Linked DNA regions of Xenopus tropicalis. The protein of the gene in region 1 purifies or fractionates together with the protein of each later gene. This does not show direct contact. Links are inferred from orthologs where the notes say so. Each region holds a gene or a part of one and is shown on either strand. Other genes may lie near its edges. The genes, in order: slx4ip and slx4.

Region 1 (4,485 bases):
AGACCTGTTCCCATAACAATTAAAACTTTGTAGTTCTTCCAAAGGTTTCCTAGCCCCATACCTCAGATTATCTAAATAAAAGAAAGACATAAAAAATAGGAAATATGTCTGTCACAGAAAAAAACCCTAAACATTATGCTTTATGAGTAGGCAAGATCAGCAGGAAGACTGCATGCAGGTTTCATGGGCACTCCCTGATCTCTCGAAGTTCTTTAAGCTGAGGACAGTATCAGCATGCACTAAAAAGTCTACAGAAAATCAGAACCGGCACACATGAGACTAAGGAAAACACACCGAAATATAATGCACAGTTTCCTTTAACACATTTAAGCACATGTCTTGTGGCAGCTCTGAGTTTTATGCAGTTTACAGACTTATTAACCAGTCAGCAACATCATTCTGTGCTACTACTGTTCTATCCCTGTCACATTTATACGAGAACATTCATTGTACAAGGATGTCTTTCTCAGTCATTCCTTGAAAACATTGCACATAACGACAATATAGTTGTATAACTAACTTATAAGACAAGGAAATATACAACAACTGGGAGGTGCCAAAATTTTAGGCCGCTCGGGGCTAGTGCTCCTGTTAGGAGAAAACTGCACTGGCTTTCCCCAGACGAAGGAAAGCAGACAATTCACTCCATATGCTCCCAGCCTTATAGTGGTAGTTCACCTACAAGTTACCTTTTACTAAGATGGTCGGTCATTTATTAGAAAGTTTTGTTCTTTTTTTTTTTTTTTATTTCTTATAGTTTTTAAATGATTTGTTTCTTTATTCTGATTCTTCCCGCTTTCAAATAGGGGTCACACTGACAACAGCAGACAAGAAACTTTGTATATTTATTACTTATTTTTTTTCAAGTCACTGGTTGCTAGAGTAATGTGGACCTTAGCAACCAAATAGTTTTTGAAGTTAAATTGATACTGAACTCTTCCTATAACTGAGACACCAACTAACCCCTTGTCATTAGGGTAATAATGATCAACTCCAGGCATTTTGGATACCTTATTTTATGTTAAGGTGCATATGTTTTTTCCAGAAGGCTCTTCTATTTACATTCCATTTACAGATTGGTATTTTATAAATAAATGTTAATAATAGTAATAATACATGACGACAGCCATTCATATGTTCAAATAACAACAAAGCAGTAAAGTTGCGTTTTAAGAGCCCTTATTTGGTCCTCTTGTGAAAAAAGCATGCTATACACTGTATTATTAAACAAAGTATACTTTTTATTGTTATATTGGTTTATATAGTCTCCCTTTACGACTATTACTTAGTTCCTGGTTCCTGAAAGCATGCCTAATACACACACAGACTCATGCAACCCACATATAAACCAAAGCACAGAGAACCCAATAAATGAAAGCCATTTAGCCACCACTCACCAGCAGTCTCTTTATACTACCAATAAGGATAAAGACTGTCCCAAGCGAGGACACAAGGTCATGCCAGCAAACAGGTTGGGCAGCGAAGCCACTCACTAGGGCGCAGCTTGATGACGTCACGCCCCCTGACGCAGATGTAACTTTTAGGATAACAAATTAATAACGCTACTCCGGGAATTTGCCCCGTTAACGCAATGCATACCAATATCTAAAAACATGTCGGTAATTTCAACTTGGCATAGTGCGTCACGTGGTATTTTTTTAACGTCAAGCCATTTGTCATTAGGTATAAGTCGCTGTAACAGAAGGCGCTGGTGGGGGGGGTGTAGCCATGGAAACGTTGACGCGCTGGGATTCCCGTGTTTTCAAAGACGGATTTACTGTAGACCGTTTGTGCATTCCGATTAAATCGAAACGAAGGCCTACTATGTTTTCCTGAAACTCGTAAATAATCGATTGGTCGTAACGAGGACTTTTGCCTCTTTCCGGCTACCGTAGCGTCCATCATTGAATGGGGAAGGCGCTGCTGCTTTGCCCATACTAAGTATTTCCCCCCTAGGTATTAGCGCGGTTTCTTGTTGCTGCTTCGCAGTCTCCAGCTCATGGGACCGTGGGGGATGTAGGCAAGAGAGGGATTAAAGGCATTTGTCTCTAAGGTAAAGGCGGCAAAATATTGTCTAAACATAACGATTAGGCATATGTGCAACCTCTAGTGGCCTTCTATTGCTGTACTACTGTTCCCATAAGCCCCTTTCAGCAGAGTTCAGTACTACTTCAGCAAAAGGACCCAGCGAGTTATATAGTGAATGCACTATTGTAAAATATAAGTCATAAAGGAGTTCCATGACCATATATAATCACTGGAGCATATTCAGCAGCTGATTTGTGTGGACCATTTAGGCAGATCTGGGGAGAAAACCTGCCTCTTAATTGTTTAATGTAACTGTAAATTAAGTATTTATTATTAAAACTACCCCCTGTTCATTTACTGTTCTGCTGTACAGTTCTGCCTACATAAGTGCTATATAAATAAAAATACAGTGATTTTAAGTTGTTGCACTGCCACCTAGTGGCAGCTTTATAACTATTAGTGCAATGTGCATCAAACATGATGTATTTATTTTTTTTAAATTTTGATTAAAGGCAACAAATACATTTTAAAAAGCTAGTGTTTTTTGTAGTGGTTGACGTAAGCTTAATATGTTGAAAGGAGTGTATGCGCTTCACTGTAATAATAAAGGCCCACCCACAGTCACATAAAGCCTCACCCATTGGCACACCAACCAACATGACTATTGTTGCATTTTCTTTAAAAGGGATATAATGGGTAAAAAACAAGAATGTGCCAGTGCATTATACTCCTCCAAATACTGAAGAAATATACTTAAAAAAAATATGTGATTGTGCTGATTTATTGAAAATTTCCCCAAAAAACTTTCTAGTCCCACCCATCTGTTGTTTCACTAGCCACTGGCTACTTTCTCAGGCTGTGCAGGGGAGCTGACAGTACCGCACTGTGCAATAGGAACCAATCAGCAGCTAGGTGGACCTAATAGGGAACCAGGGTTGGACTGGGCCGCACAGACATCGAGAAAAATCCCGGTGGGCCCGACCCTTGCCGGCGCTTCCCCTGCCTGACTGGTCCTCCCCTAATGCATTAAATTTCCGCCTGCTCAGGGGAGGACATCGGGGGGGTTTGGGGAAGCGGACGGCGGGGGCACTTGCAGGGCCCCTGGGACAGGAGCACCCCCCTGTAGGGAACTGACATTTGTCTTTCCTTGTGTGACGTTAGTGCAGCTATTGGTTATTCCCCTCCTACTGTGCTTCTGGCAGGAACTGTTAGAACATGCCCACATTTTCATTTGAACCACGGACACGAAATTTAAAAGATCATATAGGGAGCTCCAATAACAGGGCTTATTTTTAAAGATAATAATTTTTAGCTGCCCCGTATATTGTTTGCCTACAGGAATAGGGGGTGGGCTTTAAAACTCCTTTAAAAGCAAAGTTTTTTTTAAATTGAAAGTTGGACTGAGGATGTAGCCAGTACTTCATGACCCAGTGACCATGACAGCCCTAGCAGTTCCTTGCACTATACATGTTGCATTGTTTTTTTTTGTTTTTTATTTTGCTTTTAATACCTGAGGTGAGGGTGTTCACTGATAACGCTGGTATGTAATAATTACCCCTGTGTATAGTCACTCAGCAGCTTTGTTTATTTCATAACAAGTTATGTCATGGAACAGTGGCCTCAGCAATTTATGATACCACAGCCCCAGCAATATTTAATACTTTATTTTTTTTATCCCGTGTATTAGCACTGACTATCGGATTATAGTACAGAAGTTATCAGTGTTCCCTGCAATCATGCTCCAACCTGTTTATCAGATAAAAATATTCTGAACTTTCGCCACTCGGCAAGATCATCACATTCTGTGTGTTTTTAGTCTTAATTACAATTGAGCAATTCCGAATTCAGCATTTTTATTTTTCAATGTGAATTGGAGAAGAGTTTTGGGAAAGTGTGAAAGTAACAATACAGAATGTCAAGACAGGATGATTCTGGCTGATTCATGTTGTAATAAATCTGTAATTTCCCCAGGAGCATGTTGCTAGTGCAATTTTATAGACTCCTGACCAAGCTTTTTTTTTTAAATGAGTATTTATGTTTTTATGACCCCACCTGATGTTGCCTTGCGCAATTGCTAGTACTTGTACAGAGATCAGGAGAGCATTGCACTCTTCATAATATGTTCCTTTGATTCATGTGATTTTTCTGCAAACCTGAAGAAGAATATTTTTCTCACAGAAGCACATTTGGCCCCGTAATTGGTATTTATTGGAACTACCATACTGATTTCATCTTCTAATTGAAAGCTATAGGTTTTGAAACAAAACAAAAAACTCAAGCACTAGGGAACAAAAAACAAAATATCTGTTTTTTTTATCCATAATTGTTCAGTTGAAGAGATAAGCATAGTTTTAAATTATTGTCATTGCTGTAACATAATTGCAAGTGCCTAGATAAGTTTTAAAGGGCAAGGAAAATATATCGATAGGGGGCTGAGTTGACTCTCAGATTTAAAAA
Region 2 (3,823 bases), on another chromosome or scaffold:
GACCAGCACCACAGCCAAAAGCAGGTTAAAAAGAAGCAAACCATCCAGCAAGAAGCAGGTTGACAATGAGGGTGCTAAGGTGGCAGAAGAGAGCATTGCAGCAAAAGGGGACCTTGAGAAGGCCGTGGCACAGGCAGACCAATGTGACAGCAGTGATACAGAGAGAAAAAGAAAACCCAAGACCCATCTATCTAATGTTTCAATTGGACCATCACAGACAGGTATGGGATGTAAGAAAAGCAAGCTTAAACATTGACTCTGTCATTTTTTAAATTTTTTAGTATTACTTTATGTGTGACCCGTTCATTGTTGTTCAGGTGAAAATGAACCCCCAGCCCACGCAGAGCCAGTTAGACCCCAGGCACAGCCCCGTACAAAGGATCTGGTCTTGGAACGGATGCAGCAGTTTAAGAGGGCCTGTCCTAACCGTATGAAAATAAATAGTGCAGAACCATGTGACCTTAATGGTGAGTGACATTCTTAAACATAGTCACCTAGACACAAACCAAGGAGCATATTTATTATAGTGTGTAAGCCAACGTCACCGGTGATGTTGCCAATAGCAGCCAATCAGCAATTAGATTTGAATGGTCACCACAAGTTAGAAAACAAAAGAAAATATCTGATTGGTTGCTATGGGCAACATTACTGGTGATGTTTAATTACACACTATAATAAATACACCCCTTAGTATTTTCTTCAATTCACTGTCTCTCCCTTCTAATTTATCATTGCTGCCTTCAGTGAATGACCAGCTGCAAAGTGACAGCGCTTTAGCTGCAGCTCTGCAAATGGACATCAGGGAGCAACAGAAAAGCCTGGAAGATGTAGGACTCTTCTTCTGCCAACTCTGCCAAAAAGACCTGACCGCTATGAATTCTGTAATAAGAGAGCAGCACGTCAACAGGTATGTCTGTGGCTCTTCCTGTAGATAGAACAGTTTTAATGAATATTTTCTGTAGCTTCATTAGTCCCTTTGCCTTACAGGTGCTTGGATCAGAGTGAGAGTTTAGGGGAAGCATCCGGGCCCACCATTCCAAGCTGTCCTTTGTGCGGAAAGCCGTTCAATTCAGAAAAGAGCCGAGCCTCTCACCTGAAGCGTTGTGCTGCCCAGTTGGAAGTACCTGCACATACCTTACTGCAGGCAGTCCAGAGGCAAACAACCGAGTCAGTCACAGAGGCAGCAACCTGGTGAGTTTGGCACAACACTGATGTTCAATGTTTTCACCACATAATTATTTATTATAGACATTAGATTACATCCTAACTGCCAGCTACTTCTGTGTCGGTTCATTTGAATTTCCCTAACTGCTCTTAGGATCAATTATCATGGAAATGCACACTTTTAAATGGTGCATAATACTTATTTCAGTTATCAGGGTAACTTATTTAATATAGGGATGCCCCCTTTAAGCTACCAGCCTGGAGCTGCTGCACCCAGACACTGTGTAATAAGCACTTACAGCTAGAGTGGATTACATATAGGTTTTAGACAAATGCTGAAATCTGTCTACAACCCCAGGTTTACAGCATTGATGGTTTCTTCCTGTTGGTAGGGAATAAACTTCCATTTATTTTGCTACCAAAAGTATATGGCAGTTTGCTAACTTGTACCCTCTCTGTAAGAATTCAAATTGTCATCTGCTGTAGTGTTGTTTCGGCCAAGGCCAAGCGGAAAGCAGGACCCAAGAAAAAGGAGCCCCCCAAAAAGAAGAAAATGGTACAACCAAACTCAGAAGTAGAAGACCTACTAGTTGCCATGGCATTGTCACGCTCCCTGCAGGAGGATCCAACAACTCCAATGTGTGAAATAGCTCAGAAGGCAGTGCCTGCTACTAAGAGCTCTGTTCCAGGTATAGCGTAGTGGGGATTCTTCCACCTTGTTATATCAGGAAAAAATTGCTATTGTTCATGTATATGTGTTGTTGATTTCTTAGATGCCACAGTTGTGTTGCTACTTGAGATGGCGGTTGACTGCAATAAGGGCGGGTTATCCATAGTTATTTGTTGGTTAATTTCATGTTTGCTCTCTGATGCCAGACCCTAATCTGCAGCATGCTGACCCTTTTATTGCTTTTTGTGTCAGAAAAGAAAAGTCGCAAAAAACAAAAGAACGCTCCTCCTCCTCTGTTATTGGTTCAAGCCCCTGAGGCTGCCTTCCAGAGACTGCAGCAAAGAGTGGCGATTCTCCTGAGTGAAGAGCTTGAGCTTATTAGTAACACAGCTTTGCCCCAAAGCTGGTTATCCAGTATAGCGGAGAAAGAAAAGCATGCTTGGTGGAGGCCATTGCAGGACAAGCAGATATGTACTCTGTGGGAAGGCAGCAACATGATGGACAATAGAGATCTTCTGGGCTATTACATCCAGGAGCTGAACCCCCCTATAACTCCATGGAAGCCTCCAGCACAGGTAGAAGCAATACTACAGTGCTCGCTCCAAAGCTTCACAGTGACAGCATTATTTATTATACTTTCCTGCTTGGCTCTTTGATCTGTGCCATGCCATAGTTTAGGTGGGACTGCGCAGTGCAGCTGATCAAAGAACCAACACAATTCAGCAGGTGTTCAAAACACTGAAACTTATATCATCAAAGATACAAAATAGGAACCTATGTTATACAGTATTTTTATTTAATATTTTTATTTAATATTATAGCAAACATGATACCCTGAAAGCTGTTCATAGTTTGATGGCATATACTGGTAAATTGTGTAGAATGTAAAACAAGACACTTAGACCCTGTCGCTCTCTCGCCCAGCACAAGCTTTACAATTCACAGCCACGTACAGTGACACCTGTGCATCTGGCAGCAACCCCTCCATGCTCAGTCTCAAGTGCCAAGCAACAATCTACTGAAACCTGCAGCCAAGATGGGCATCTTCTGTCCCACAGTCAGAAGGATAGGCAGGCATTACTGGATCTTGCAGAGCTAGCAGGAGAGGGCATGACACTGACCCAGTGGAAGCTCGGTACCAGCCATGAAGTGGACAACAGAGGTAATCTTTGATAGGTAAAATCTGACCACACCCTTAAGTGTAGTTTGCAGTCATTTACTGGTGCTTTGTTCTCATAGGAAGAGAATCTGTGAGCAGTGTCACAGCCAGTGGATTTGTCCCCTCACTTCAGGAAGAGACCTGTAAGCAGAGTGACCACCCACAGCTCTCCGTAAGCATTCATTGGCTCTCCTGCCTTTATGGTTCTGGAAAGAATGGTTGCAATAAAGAACTGGTAAAAATAGGAGGTGGTGAACTGGGGCATAGCACTCGTTGCTGGGAGTTAGAGCATAAATAGAAAATAAACAGAAAAGCTCAACAGAGTGAAAAAGTGCACATAATGGTTTTTGAAAAGCCTTCCTAGTAGGCCCAGACTGGCAATCTGTGGATTCTGGCAAATGCCAGAGGGGCTGCTGTAAGATGCCATAGACAGTCATTGTTTATTGGGCCAGGGCCTATTTTGACTTTCAGCCTAGACCTGCTTCCTAGGTCAGAAATCTTGGCCTGTGGTCAACATTTATACCGTGTAATATACTACGATTTGATATGAAACACTCAGATAAGGCTCCTCAGTTTCTGTGACTCTTGGGGTACTATCGGCTGCACCCAAGAACCTTCGTTACCTGCATATGAACTCTGGGGTTATTTATATGAATTGTATGACCATAAAATCATAGAACAGTGGGTTACTAAGTACTGTACCTCAGTCTGTTTACAGTAATTATATATCTCTGTAAAGTATTCAGCAGATGAAATAGGCTGTTGAAATTTTAATTTGCTAGCCATTTTCTACGAATTTATTTTTCTTTCCCTGCAGGCTCCTCTTGTTT

What was found.
Region 2: the proteins of slx4ip (region 1) and slx4 purify together in Homo sapiens (affinity purification with mass spectrometry; 6 studies listed by BioGRID and IntAct, with this or other methods). This does not show direct contact. The link is inferred for Xenopus tropicalis from reciprocal best matches to the Homo sapiens genes SLX4IP and SLX4.

What each region holds. Positions count from the first base shown.
Region 1 is NC_030681.2:26,761,499-26,765,983, forward strand, and holds the start of slx4ip (protein SLX4IP), read left to right. Parts: upstream 1-1,456; 5' UTR 1,457-1,533; intron 1,534-1,951; exon of another isoform or gene 1,952-2,053; intron 2,054-4,485.
Region 2 is NC_030685.2:20,680,208-20,684,030, forward strand, and holds part of slx4 (structure-specific endonuclease subunit SLX4), read left to right. Parts: coding exon 1-221; intron 222-317; coding exon 318-467; intron 468-744; coding exon 745-907; intron 908-987; coding exon 988-1,191; intron 1,192-1,650; coding exon 1,651-1,853; intron 1,854-2,086; coding exon 2,087-2,409; intron 2,410-2,758; coding exon 2,759-2,996; intron 2,997-3,073; coding exon 3,074-3,165; intron 3,166-3,810; coding exon 3,811-3,823. UniProt on the Homo sapiens protein: Regulatory subunit that interacts with and increases the activity of different structure-specific endonucleases.